Linked DNA regions of Mus musculus: region 1 is reported to be linked to region 2. Evidence: microRNA targets listed by miRTarBase, many of them from high-throughput screens and not tested one by one. Region 2 holds a microRNA gene; the other region holds the end of a gene's coding sequence.

Region 1 (5,076 bases), not on the chromosome of region 2:
TCTGGGTCAAAAATGTTGATGACCACATGCCTCAAATGGGGGCCATGTCTATCTACTTACTGCAGGTGGTCTCTTGAGTTTCTATCTCCCCTCTGTTGACCAGTTCAGCTAAGGCAGTCTTCATTGTGCCCCAGGAGCCTCACATCCCAGGTCTCTGGGACTTTTTAAAGTTTTCCCCTATCCTCCATCCCCACAACTGAATATTCCGGGGCAGGGCCCTTCCCCTTCATTGCACCATGGTTGTTTTGCATCTCTTTGCCCTCCCTGACTATCTTTCTTTTAACTCAGAGTTCAGTTTGCCTGTGTGCTGGGCTTAAAGGTGCACACCACCGCTGTCCAGTCAGTTTTCTTGTTTTCTAAATACTTCTAAAGAAAACTCAGGAGTTTACTGTGCAGAGGGGCTGGGCAGGGATGCTAAATGCCCTCTGCCAGTTGGTGATACCTTGTGGGGTAGGTTGCTTCTGCCCCGTTCCAGGTAGTGTTGAACAGACCAGAGCACACAGGCCAGTCTCCCAAAACGCTACTGGCTCCCAAAAGTCAGCAGTGTTGAAGCCGACAACCACCCCAGGCTTTACATAGGGTTTGTTTACAGAACTAAAAGGGAATTCATGGCTGAGGCCTGGCTAATGGTCAGCTTGCAGGGCCTCACTTTGTTTTCTCTCCGGTAAGTTAACTGAGAGAAAACAGCATTTATGACTCAGAGGGCTGTGGGAAGAGGGGAGAAAATGACTGTGGTTAGTGACACAAACAATCATAAATGGCTTTGCCTGTCTTGTTTCTTTTTCAGAGTCAGAGAGAGACTGGACTGACCAGTAATTATCATTAAACGGCTGTTTCATCCCGGTCTCAATCAGAGCTATTCATTCAGGTCATTCAGAGAGCCTTGGGCTGCAACCGCTTGAAGTCAGGGTCAGAGCCAGTGCGAATGGAAAAGGCCAGTCTTTTCACTCTGCATGTGTTAATGACCTGGGCTGAACATCAATGGCAAGTTTCCATGAAAAAGCCATCTGAGAATCTAACCTAGAAATAAATGGTTCTATATAGAGCCTTGTTTTTAATATTCGGCATTCAATGGGGGCTGCAGCTGTAAACAGCTCTCCATCCCCATTTCTCCACGAAGTTAATTTGCACTCTGCTGGCACTGCAGGCTTTTTGCCTATGTTCTGGACAAGCTGATATGTGCAGGCCTGGAATGAATAATGTTTAGTAAAATCAATAAACCCTATTATTAGTCACTAAGGGGACTGATTTTATGTCTATAAAAGTAAAACAATTAGAAGCATATTAATGACAGATTCATCATAGTAATATAATGGAGCCAAGTATGCTTGTCTTTGGGGAATCTTTAATTTACCATTCAGTACTGAATGTAGACTCAGCCAGTGAAATGGTATACACAATGTCAATGAGCTCTGGCCTTCGGCACTTCATGACCTGGGGATAGACAGCAATCATAACCGTAAGGGGGTGGGGGGGGGAGACAAAGAAAATTCCATTTTGTGATCACTGTAAACCAGTCACGAATAAGCGAAAGCCTAGGGAGGAGGAAGGCTACTCTCGTGGTCTTGTGGTTTTGGTCATGCATCTCTCCATCTTTATCAGCACGCCCATTCGCGGCAAAAGTAGAATTAAGTATGGGCTAATGTGCATATTTATAATCTGTCTAGTCAGCCACCTGAGCTGGATTGATGAGAAGCCTGACATGTGATACGTGTACATTCAGGATTTTACCACTGAAAGGGAAGCCTGGCCTCCTGTATATTATTTGTAAAATGTGCCTAATTGTAAGTTGGAAAGTCTTCAGGAACCCATAATATTGCTCAGCCCTCAACAGGAGCATGCTGCTTTAGTCTTGCCAAAGCAGAGGGAGCATTTCTCTACTGGGCCAGAATTCTGGGACGCGGTAGGCGAGCTAAACAAAGGTACCCACGTGAGAGCACTTCTTAGTGAGCTGGTAGACCTGTCTTTGGTGATTGGAGGGGAGCCATAGAGAGCCAGATTGGGATGAGATTGTGAAGCCGAGCAAGTTCCAGGGCTGGGGTGTGCAGCTCAGGGACAGAGCATCTGCCAGGCGGGGGGTGGCTTGGGCCCCAGCACCAGAAAAAACCTTAACCAATCCAAAGTGAATCCCCAGTGGAGGGATTCTGCACCAGCTTTCCCATTTCACTGTGGTGCTTTGACCCACCTCCACCCCTCAAATTCACATGAACTCCCTTCTCAGCAAGTTAGTGACATTGTCCCAGACTGAGTAGCCTTATAAACTCCCACAAATCCTCAACGTGTCCCCACTCATCTTATCAAACAACCTACTATGTGCATGGACTTCATTGTATGTTTGCACTGTCTACTGGGAGATACAAGCTCCATGAGAATGGGACTTTCTGTCTGTTTTGTTCATTGATATACATCCCAGCTTAGGATAGTGTGGGGGGCTCAATAGGCAGAAAGATGAGCCAAGAAAAGGTGAAATTGGACATGAAATATCTATATATGTCAGTGACAACTCACTGACTTTTTAATCCTTTTATTTTGGATTGTTTCCCCCCCCCCCCCAAGACAGGGTTTCTCTGTGTTACCTTGGGGCTGCTACATATAACTCAAATATGTAGACTAGGCTGGCCTTGAACTCACAGAGATATATCTGTCTCCACCTCCTGAGTGCTGGGATTAAAGGTGTTGCCACCACACCTTGCTTAGCTGAGTATTTTATATGTTCTGTCTACTGTCCATATGTCACAAGACTTAGATGTTTAGGCCAGGTATGGTGATAAATGGCTTTAACATGAACATTTGGGAAGGGACAGAGGCAGGAGGATCTCTATGAGATCCAGCACAGCTGGGATAATATAAAGAGAACAAGTTTTAAGAAATAAACCAACACACACACACACACACACACACACACACACACAAGATTACATGTTTAGCATACTGTTGGGGTGCTATGTGTCCATGTTTAGAGTAGTCATGTAGTTCTGCCCATATTTATAGAATTGAACCCGGCGTTTGGTTGTTATATCATTTTAGCATGTATGAAAAGTTAGTATCTGTGTATTGTTGAATTACGTGTCCATAGTGTGAAGAAATTCTCCTCTGAAAGTTAGACTCACTCCCAGCCAGCGAGAAGTAACATCAGACACACAAGAAACCATTATTAAAAAAAAAACAAAACAAAACCTTTTTAATTCTGATTGCCAAATTATTTAAGGCAGGTATAAAAAGGAAAGCATTCAATATACATTTTACATAAAATAAACTAGATTACAGCATAAAACAAGTAACCAGGCAATGGCGTTAAAATCCTTCTCTTCTAAAACTGGATAATTGTAAACATTAAAGAAAAAAAAAGGAAAAAAAAAAAGAAGACTGCAGGGCTATTCAAGTAAGAGAGAGATCGCAGATGTCTCTGGTATGCAGGCTATTGGGTTATCTGCCATTCAAGATTATCAAAAAAAAATGACACCTCATTATTCACAGATGCTCATTATTTCCCCATCTTAATTTTTACATTATATATACAACACAGTTTTTGTGGTTCTGGCAACCCCATGCCTTCCAAAAGTATTTATTTCCACAATAAACAAGTACAAAGAGTGACCACGGGGACATTTTTTACACTGATGCATCTTTAAGAGGAGCCACCAATTAGACATCTAAATTGTACCAAGTGTCATCATCACAGTTGGCCTTTCTGAGGGGTTTTATGGGAGAGAGATGAAGGATATGCAAGGTTCAGGCACACTGATACAGAACATTATTTATTTACAATTTAAAAGGAAAAGAATGTAAGCAGCCTGTTGTGGCTAACACTTTCAACATGACAAATACATTTTTTTTTCTTTTTTAATTTCCTTTACTGAGTGGTTTGCAACTTGGCAGCAGACCCTGTGTGTGCGAGCCTGGTTACTGTTACAAAAAAGTAAAGAATATATATATATATATGTATATATATATATGTATATATACAGATATGTATACGTATATATATACATATATATAAAACAGAAGTTTAATTACAGCAACATTTGTTACTCTGTGATAAAATCTGTAATTTACAAAATGAAATGACTGGTTTTTTGCCTGCCATTAAGGCATTTCAAATTAACACCATGGAACTGATGTCTATATAAAGCGCTTCCCCATGTGATCCAGTCACATGGCACCGGACACTTCCGATTCTGTTATTCTCTGCAAAAGAAGAGCACACCTTAGCAACCGGTTCTGTCAACAGTGGGCAGGAACTACATAAAAACAGTGAGCCTGAGAGTTCTGCTTCCTCCCTACGATTCCCGGGGAAATGAAGAATCACAAAGTGATAAGCTACATTTTTAGGGAGTGTTAATTTTATATTGATAATCTGATTTTTTTTTAATTTATTTTTCTTCTCAGAACAGCTTGCAGGGTAACTTAGAACACAAGAGAAACAAAGGCTCCCTTTAGCATTATGGTAACTCATTTCTCCATGTGCAATGTTAATTTTAAGTATAATAAAATGAAAAGCTTTGTATCCTGATATTTTATTTGATAGAACTGAGACTAGAACCTGGGACTGTAGGCATTCTGGTCAAATGCTAAAACACCGAACTACCCCATGAATATGTTAACAAAAGTGTAGGCTTGGCCTTATCTTAACCTAAGGACAATTACCCTTATCTTAGACTTAAAACAAAACAAAACAAAACAAAACAAAAATAAAACAAAAAAACCCCACATTTCTTTACAGATGTACATCACATTTATAGAATGAGGATCATGGAATCAAAGCCCCGTGTGAAACATCTTGTCATAGCATGTTCAATCATTACAGTAAAATGAAACTCAGGTGCCAAGTTTCTCATCTGCAAAGCCTATATTCTCTTCCGTGAATACCATTAGCCCATCTCTGCCAGAAAACTAATTCCAGGTGTCAGGAATATTTACCTTCTCTGTGCAGGAAACATTCCAGAAGCAGATGCCTGGGCAGCCACCTGCTGAGAGGCAACTAGGGCAGCAGAGGTCAAGCCTAGTGGGAGGAAAACACAGGGTTTCCATGACATTGGAAAAGAGTGGACACAGGCCCAGTGGTCAAGGGCACAG
Region 2 (5,076 bases):
ATGTCTGGGTACCTCCTCTACCTCCTCTTTAATCCTTAACACCTTGAGCTTTGCCAGTGCACAGTACCTGGGCAAGGACTCACAGAGAGCAAGCATCGTCTGCACAAAGAAAGCATGTATTTATCACCTCTCCTAGTGCAGAGGGTTTTGAGCATTTCTTGAATTTGCATGTCCAAAAGTAGGCAAAGCATGAGGGGTTATGAATGTACTATGTGCTAAGGTTTGTATCTAAGAATAAATTTCTTATTCTCATAAAGCTTCCTCCTTTCATATGTTCAAGGGTTTATAAAAAGTAAATTTTGTCATAATTTCCCTATGTAATCCTTATGATCCAGCTTTTTGGTCTGCTCCTTCCCTGTGATACCTGCTGCTAGTGTTTTCTACATGCAGCTGGGATTCAGAAAGAATTTAAAGATGGAAGGCTCTCTTGTTTGCCTGTGTGTATTTATAGCTAAGTATTTCTTAACAATGGGGATTTCTGAGAAATATGGTTGTTAAGTTATTTTTGTCGTTGTATGAATATTATGGAGTTGCCTAGTTACTGTTCTATTGCTGAGAAGAGACACCATAACCAAGGCAACTTATAAAGGAAACAATTTAATTGGGGGCTTATTAAAATTTCAGTGTGAGTCTATGACCATCATGGTAGGGAACATGGCAGCAAGCAGGCAGGCATGATGCTGGGGCAAGAGCTGGGAGCTCATATCTTATTGCAAGTTAGAGGCAGAGGCAGGGGAGATATTGATGGAGAGAGAGAGAGAGAGAGAGAGAGAGAGAGAGAGAGAGAGAGAGAGAGAGAGAGAGAAGAGAGAAAGAGAACATGAACACAAACAAGCTTGGGCCTGGCTTGGGGTTTTTGAAAGCTTAATGTCTACCTCTAGTGAGCTGACTCCTCGAACAAGGCCACACCACACCTTCTAATCCTTCCCAAAACAGCTTTACCTACTAGGGACCAAGCACTCCAGTATATGAACCTGTGAGGGCAATTTTTATTAAACCACCATGGGAGTGTATAGTTAAACTAATAAGGATTACTAGGTGATGAAATGTTATGTGACTACTATTGTATATGTAGTTTGTGGCTTACCAAACACCATGTAGTATGTGACTATAGTTCTGATTGTATGATAGTGTGCTGATATGTGGAGCCAGTGGTAAGTTGGGCAGTCCAGTCTTTGTAGCATGTGCATACAGGAGGATGAAAATCATTCTCACTGTGTACGATCACATATACATGCCTGAGAAGCTGCAGGATGCACTTCCTTACTTTAGCCTCCACTTTCTAAGTGTCAAACCTGATTCATCACGTTCTCAGCACACATAGGCAACCTTCAAATGCAGAGGCCCACTGACAGCTTAGCAGGAACAGAGTCCTGCTCCCCTAACCTTGTTCTCTTACACCTCTAAGGAAGGGTAGTGGGCTCTCTTGGTTTTCATCTTTGACGGAGCTGTTATAGGAAGGTATACTTGTTTGTTAACACTGACATTTTTGTAAACACATACCTAGACAGTCATAGATATGCTTTTGCATCAGCTGGGTAGATAGGAGAACAAATATGAATGAAGCCCATCTATAGCTAGGTGTACATCATATATAGGCCCGTGAGCATAGAAGGTTTCTTTTGTTTGATACACTTGTTTTCTCATAGAGAAAAATGCCTTACTGTCATTCATTTATATTCGCTCTCCCCCCTTCTCTACTTCTCCCCTCTCTCCTTACTCCTGACTCTCTTCACTCTCTGTGACATATAGTAGGAAAGTGAAAGATTGAAACTTGTGATTTTGTCTTTCATATCCCTCACAGAAAGGGGTGTGAACTTCGTTGATTTAGGCACATTGAAGAAGAATTACCAGAGAGCCAGTCCTTGCATTGCCTTTTACAGATTCTCCGAGTCACTGATATTCATGCCTCCTTCACCTGGCTTTTGCATATATGAGTATGACCATACTATTGTAAACAGGACATTCATTTAGACACATGTGTACAAAAATGGTAGTGTAAGAGGTAAAAATAATAGCCAGGGGCCAGGTCCTGCATCCTACTCTAGGCTTGCATCTTACCTAATTTTTTTGGTACTCTTTAAAGAGATAGCATTTGTTATTCTCATTTTTTAGAAGTAGTCCATGACCTTGGAGAAAGCAGGTAGATTCTTTAATCCAGTACATGGTGAAGTATAGGTTTGAAACAGGGTTTGTAGATACCAAACTCCACAGTTTCTCTGTCTTATCCATGATGCTGGTAAGGTCCCCAGCATCACCCAGCCCCTTTTAGAAATACAAAATCTTGAGCTCACTAATGAGAAACCTCTGTAAGTTATCTTAGTACCAAGTCCTCCAGGTATCTGAAGTAACTTTAACAAGATGCTGATGTGTGTTAAAGGATGCCAATCTCTACTGCCATCTTGTGAGCTTATGGCCTCTTCTCTCTGTCTCTCTGTCTTTTTTTCTTTCAGTATTTTGTATCTCTGGCTTTATATTTTTATAATCTCAGAACAAAATATGAATGTATATATTTAGACAGGTTTCTCTGTCTCTGTCTGTCTGTCTGTCTGTCTGTCTCTCTGTCTCTGTCTCTCTTTGTCTCTGTGTCTGTCTGTCACTCTGTCTCTCTCTCTCTCTCTCTCTCTCTCTCTCTTTCTGTGTATGTGTGTGGAGGGTGCAGAGGTCAACCTGAGGTGCTTCCCCTTTGGGGACATCTACCCTGTTTTTTGAAACAGTCTCTAATAGGGACTTGGCACTCACCAGTTAGGCCAAGGGATCTAGCTTTCTTTGAGTCCTCACGCTTGGCTCTTTTATGTGGAGGCTGGGAGTTGAACTCAGGTGCCTAGACATACTTAATGTGAAGCTCAAGAACATTGTCTTCTTTCTCATCACAGATAAGCACCTTGTGTCAAAGGTGAGCCCATGCGTTCATTTGCTGTGAGCCTTTTGCCCTGCTTCAGTTCTCTGATCCTTGCTACCTGGGTGAGAGTGTTCTTCAGCAAGGATTCTGAGAGCCAGACCTTTGTGTTTGTAAAGGACAGAGCGCATCTCTCGTTCTCTTTTAGTGTGTTGCACACAAGCATATTGACCACACACAGGAAGGGCAGGTTCCTGAGCCTTCTTGCTTGCTCCCCCTCTCGAATCCTTGGAACCTAGGTGTGAATGCTGCTTCAGTGCAACACACCTGTTCAAGGATTCAAAGAGGCTGAGCCTTGTCTGCGTGTAGAATGGCCCATACTTGCACATCTCACCTGCCACCTTCCCTCCTCCTGGCCACCATTTGATTTTGGTTTTAGCTGTCAGACTTGGTTCTACACATTTTCTAACAGCAAAATGGTCTTTATCATGTTTGGTAGACATGCTTCTATTCTCAGCATGAGCTTTCTTGATTCCCAGTTTGCTAAGTGTCAGATCATGTGATGAGGAGCACACATTAGGTGCTGCTACTCAGGCAACCCGTTTGTTACATCCAGTGATAACCCCTGTTCCACAAAGCTTGAATTGTATAAAGGCATTGGAAAGGAATGGAGTATCCTCCTCCACTGTGCCCTCTTTCAGTATGTATATGCATTCTCAGATCCCAGCCTTCTTGCTACCTTCCAAACATAAATCAGGCCCCCACAAATTCTCAAGTATGATCTGGGAGAGATACCATTTTGTATACGTAGAAGTTTTCTCTGAGAGAGGATGCTCATGGTGGGAAGGGGGCAGATACATATATAAATCAGGGATGTCAAGCTTGGGTATAGGTGGTGATGCTTGGCTGAATCAGGACAAGGAAAATTAAATATTATATACAGAACCACACAAACATGGTACAGGTGCCTGGGCCTTCTGCTCTGCTCATCCTCTCTAATCCTTTGTCCCTGGGTGAAAATGCTATTTGTATGCAATGCACCCGGGCAAGGATTTGGGGAAGGTGAGCCTGATCTGCATGGAGAAGGACAGGAGGTCTGTGCATCATATCTCATCTGTTTGCTGCTTGCATACTTCTTTTATGCCTCCCCCCACCTTCTTTCCTTCTACAAATACAACGGGCATGGTGCATGGGAGAGTAAATGTGACAAATTTGGCCTCTTCCCACCTAGATTTTATAGGTAGAACTTTATTTCCACTTATGACCCTAACAGGTATCAAGAACAAGTGGGGCACATAGTAAACTGTGTATTGACATAAGTGCGCAGCTTTTCATTCTAGTTCTCATACCGACACCTGGAAGAGAAATTCTTCTTTAGTTCAACTCTTGGAGGAATGCACAGGGCAAGAACAGTAAGCCTTCTTGTTGAACCCACATGCCAAGGGCATAGGTGCAGGCTGTGCCTTTCTAGTACTTGCTACTTGGATGAGTGTGCTTTGCGAATGCAATATACCTGGGCAAGGGTTCAGACATTGAGTTATCTTCATGTAGGACCTTTACGCCTCCTTCCACTGTTTCCTGTCTATTTATTCAGTATGGCAGGTACTCAACTAGGGATTTGGTCCACAGGAGTATGAACCACATGTGGTTCAGGGAGCAAATGGTCCAGGGAGAGTGAGCTGTGTCACATCCATTATGCCTGCATGAGTGGACTGTAGACTGGGACTTCATGTACACTGTCCACTTGGATTCTTCCATATTTTAACACAGTCCCATATAAATGCAGTGTATACAGAGGAGAGGATTCACAGACTTGTGCCCACAGAGAGGATTATCTGACCTGATTCATCAGGAACATTAATCCTCAGCACAAGTGCTGTTTTCAATAGTAAGTCCTGTCCAAGGAATCCAAAGGGTGGCACTTCGCCTGCACTTTAAAGGACAGAGCCCCTATATGTCCACACCCCTGTTCCTTTTCCTTCCTTTCACAAATATTCAGGTATGCACTATTTGATACAGCTCTGTTAGTCATAGAGGATGTAGCAGGAAACAAAATGAACAGAGGTGCTACTCTCTTAGGAGACTAATAAACACACTAAGATCCTTGACTATTATAGACTCACCAACTGCTGTTCAAAAGAATGACCTAGGTCTATTGTTCCTTGTTTTCTATTCTGTATGAATGACTCAGTGCAGGGTCTGATAGATGAGATTTCTCAAACTATTCCCCCTCCCAT

The links. The annotated mature microRNA mmu-miR-362-5p reads AAUCCUUGGAACCUAGGUGUGAAU and lies in region 2 at 3,123-3,146, shown strand. An mRNA with a match to its seed (bases 2 to 7 or 8) in the 3' UTR can be bound and repressed. Matches are read on the target gene's strand: a 7mer-m8 pairs with bases 2 to 8, a 7mer-A1 pairs with bases 2 to 7 and ends in A, and an 8mer does both.
Region 1: the mRNA of Zfp608 is a reported target of mmu-miR-362-5p. The part of its 3' UTR that is shown has no 7-base or 8-base seed match.

The regions. Positions count from the first base shown.
Region 1 is chr18:54,884,894-54,889,969 of GRCm38, forward strand. Zfp608 (zinc finger protein 608) reads right to left here. Exons shown (of 10, transcript NM_175751.4): 9 at 4,921-5,002; 10 at 3,152-4,188. The coding sequence ends at 4,182. Among named protein-coding and RNA genes, the nearest start is that of Gm33732, 47 kb to the left of the region's middle.
Region 2 is chrX:7,240,089-7,245,164 of GRCm38, reverse strand. It overlaps Mir362 (microRNA 362), which reads left to right and starts at 3,119; the gene lies at 3,119-3,183. The region is part of intron 2 of Clcn5 (chloride channel, voltage-sensitive 5); the gene reads left to right. It overlaps Mir501 (microRNA 501), which reads left to right and starts at 3,814; the gene lies at 3,814-3,922.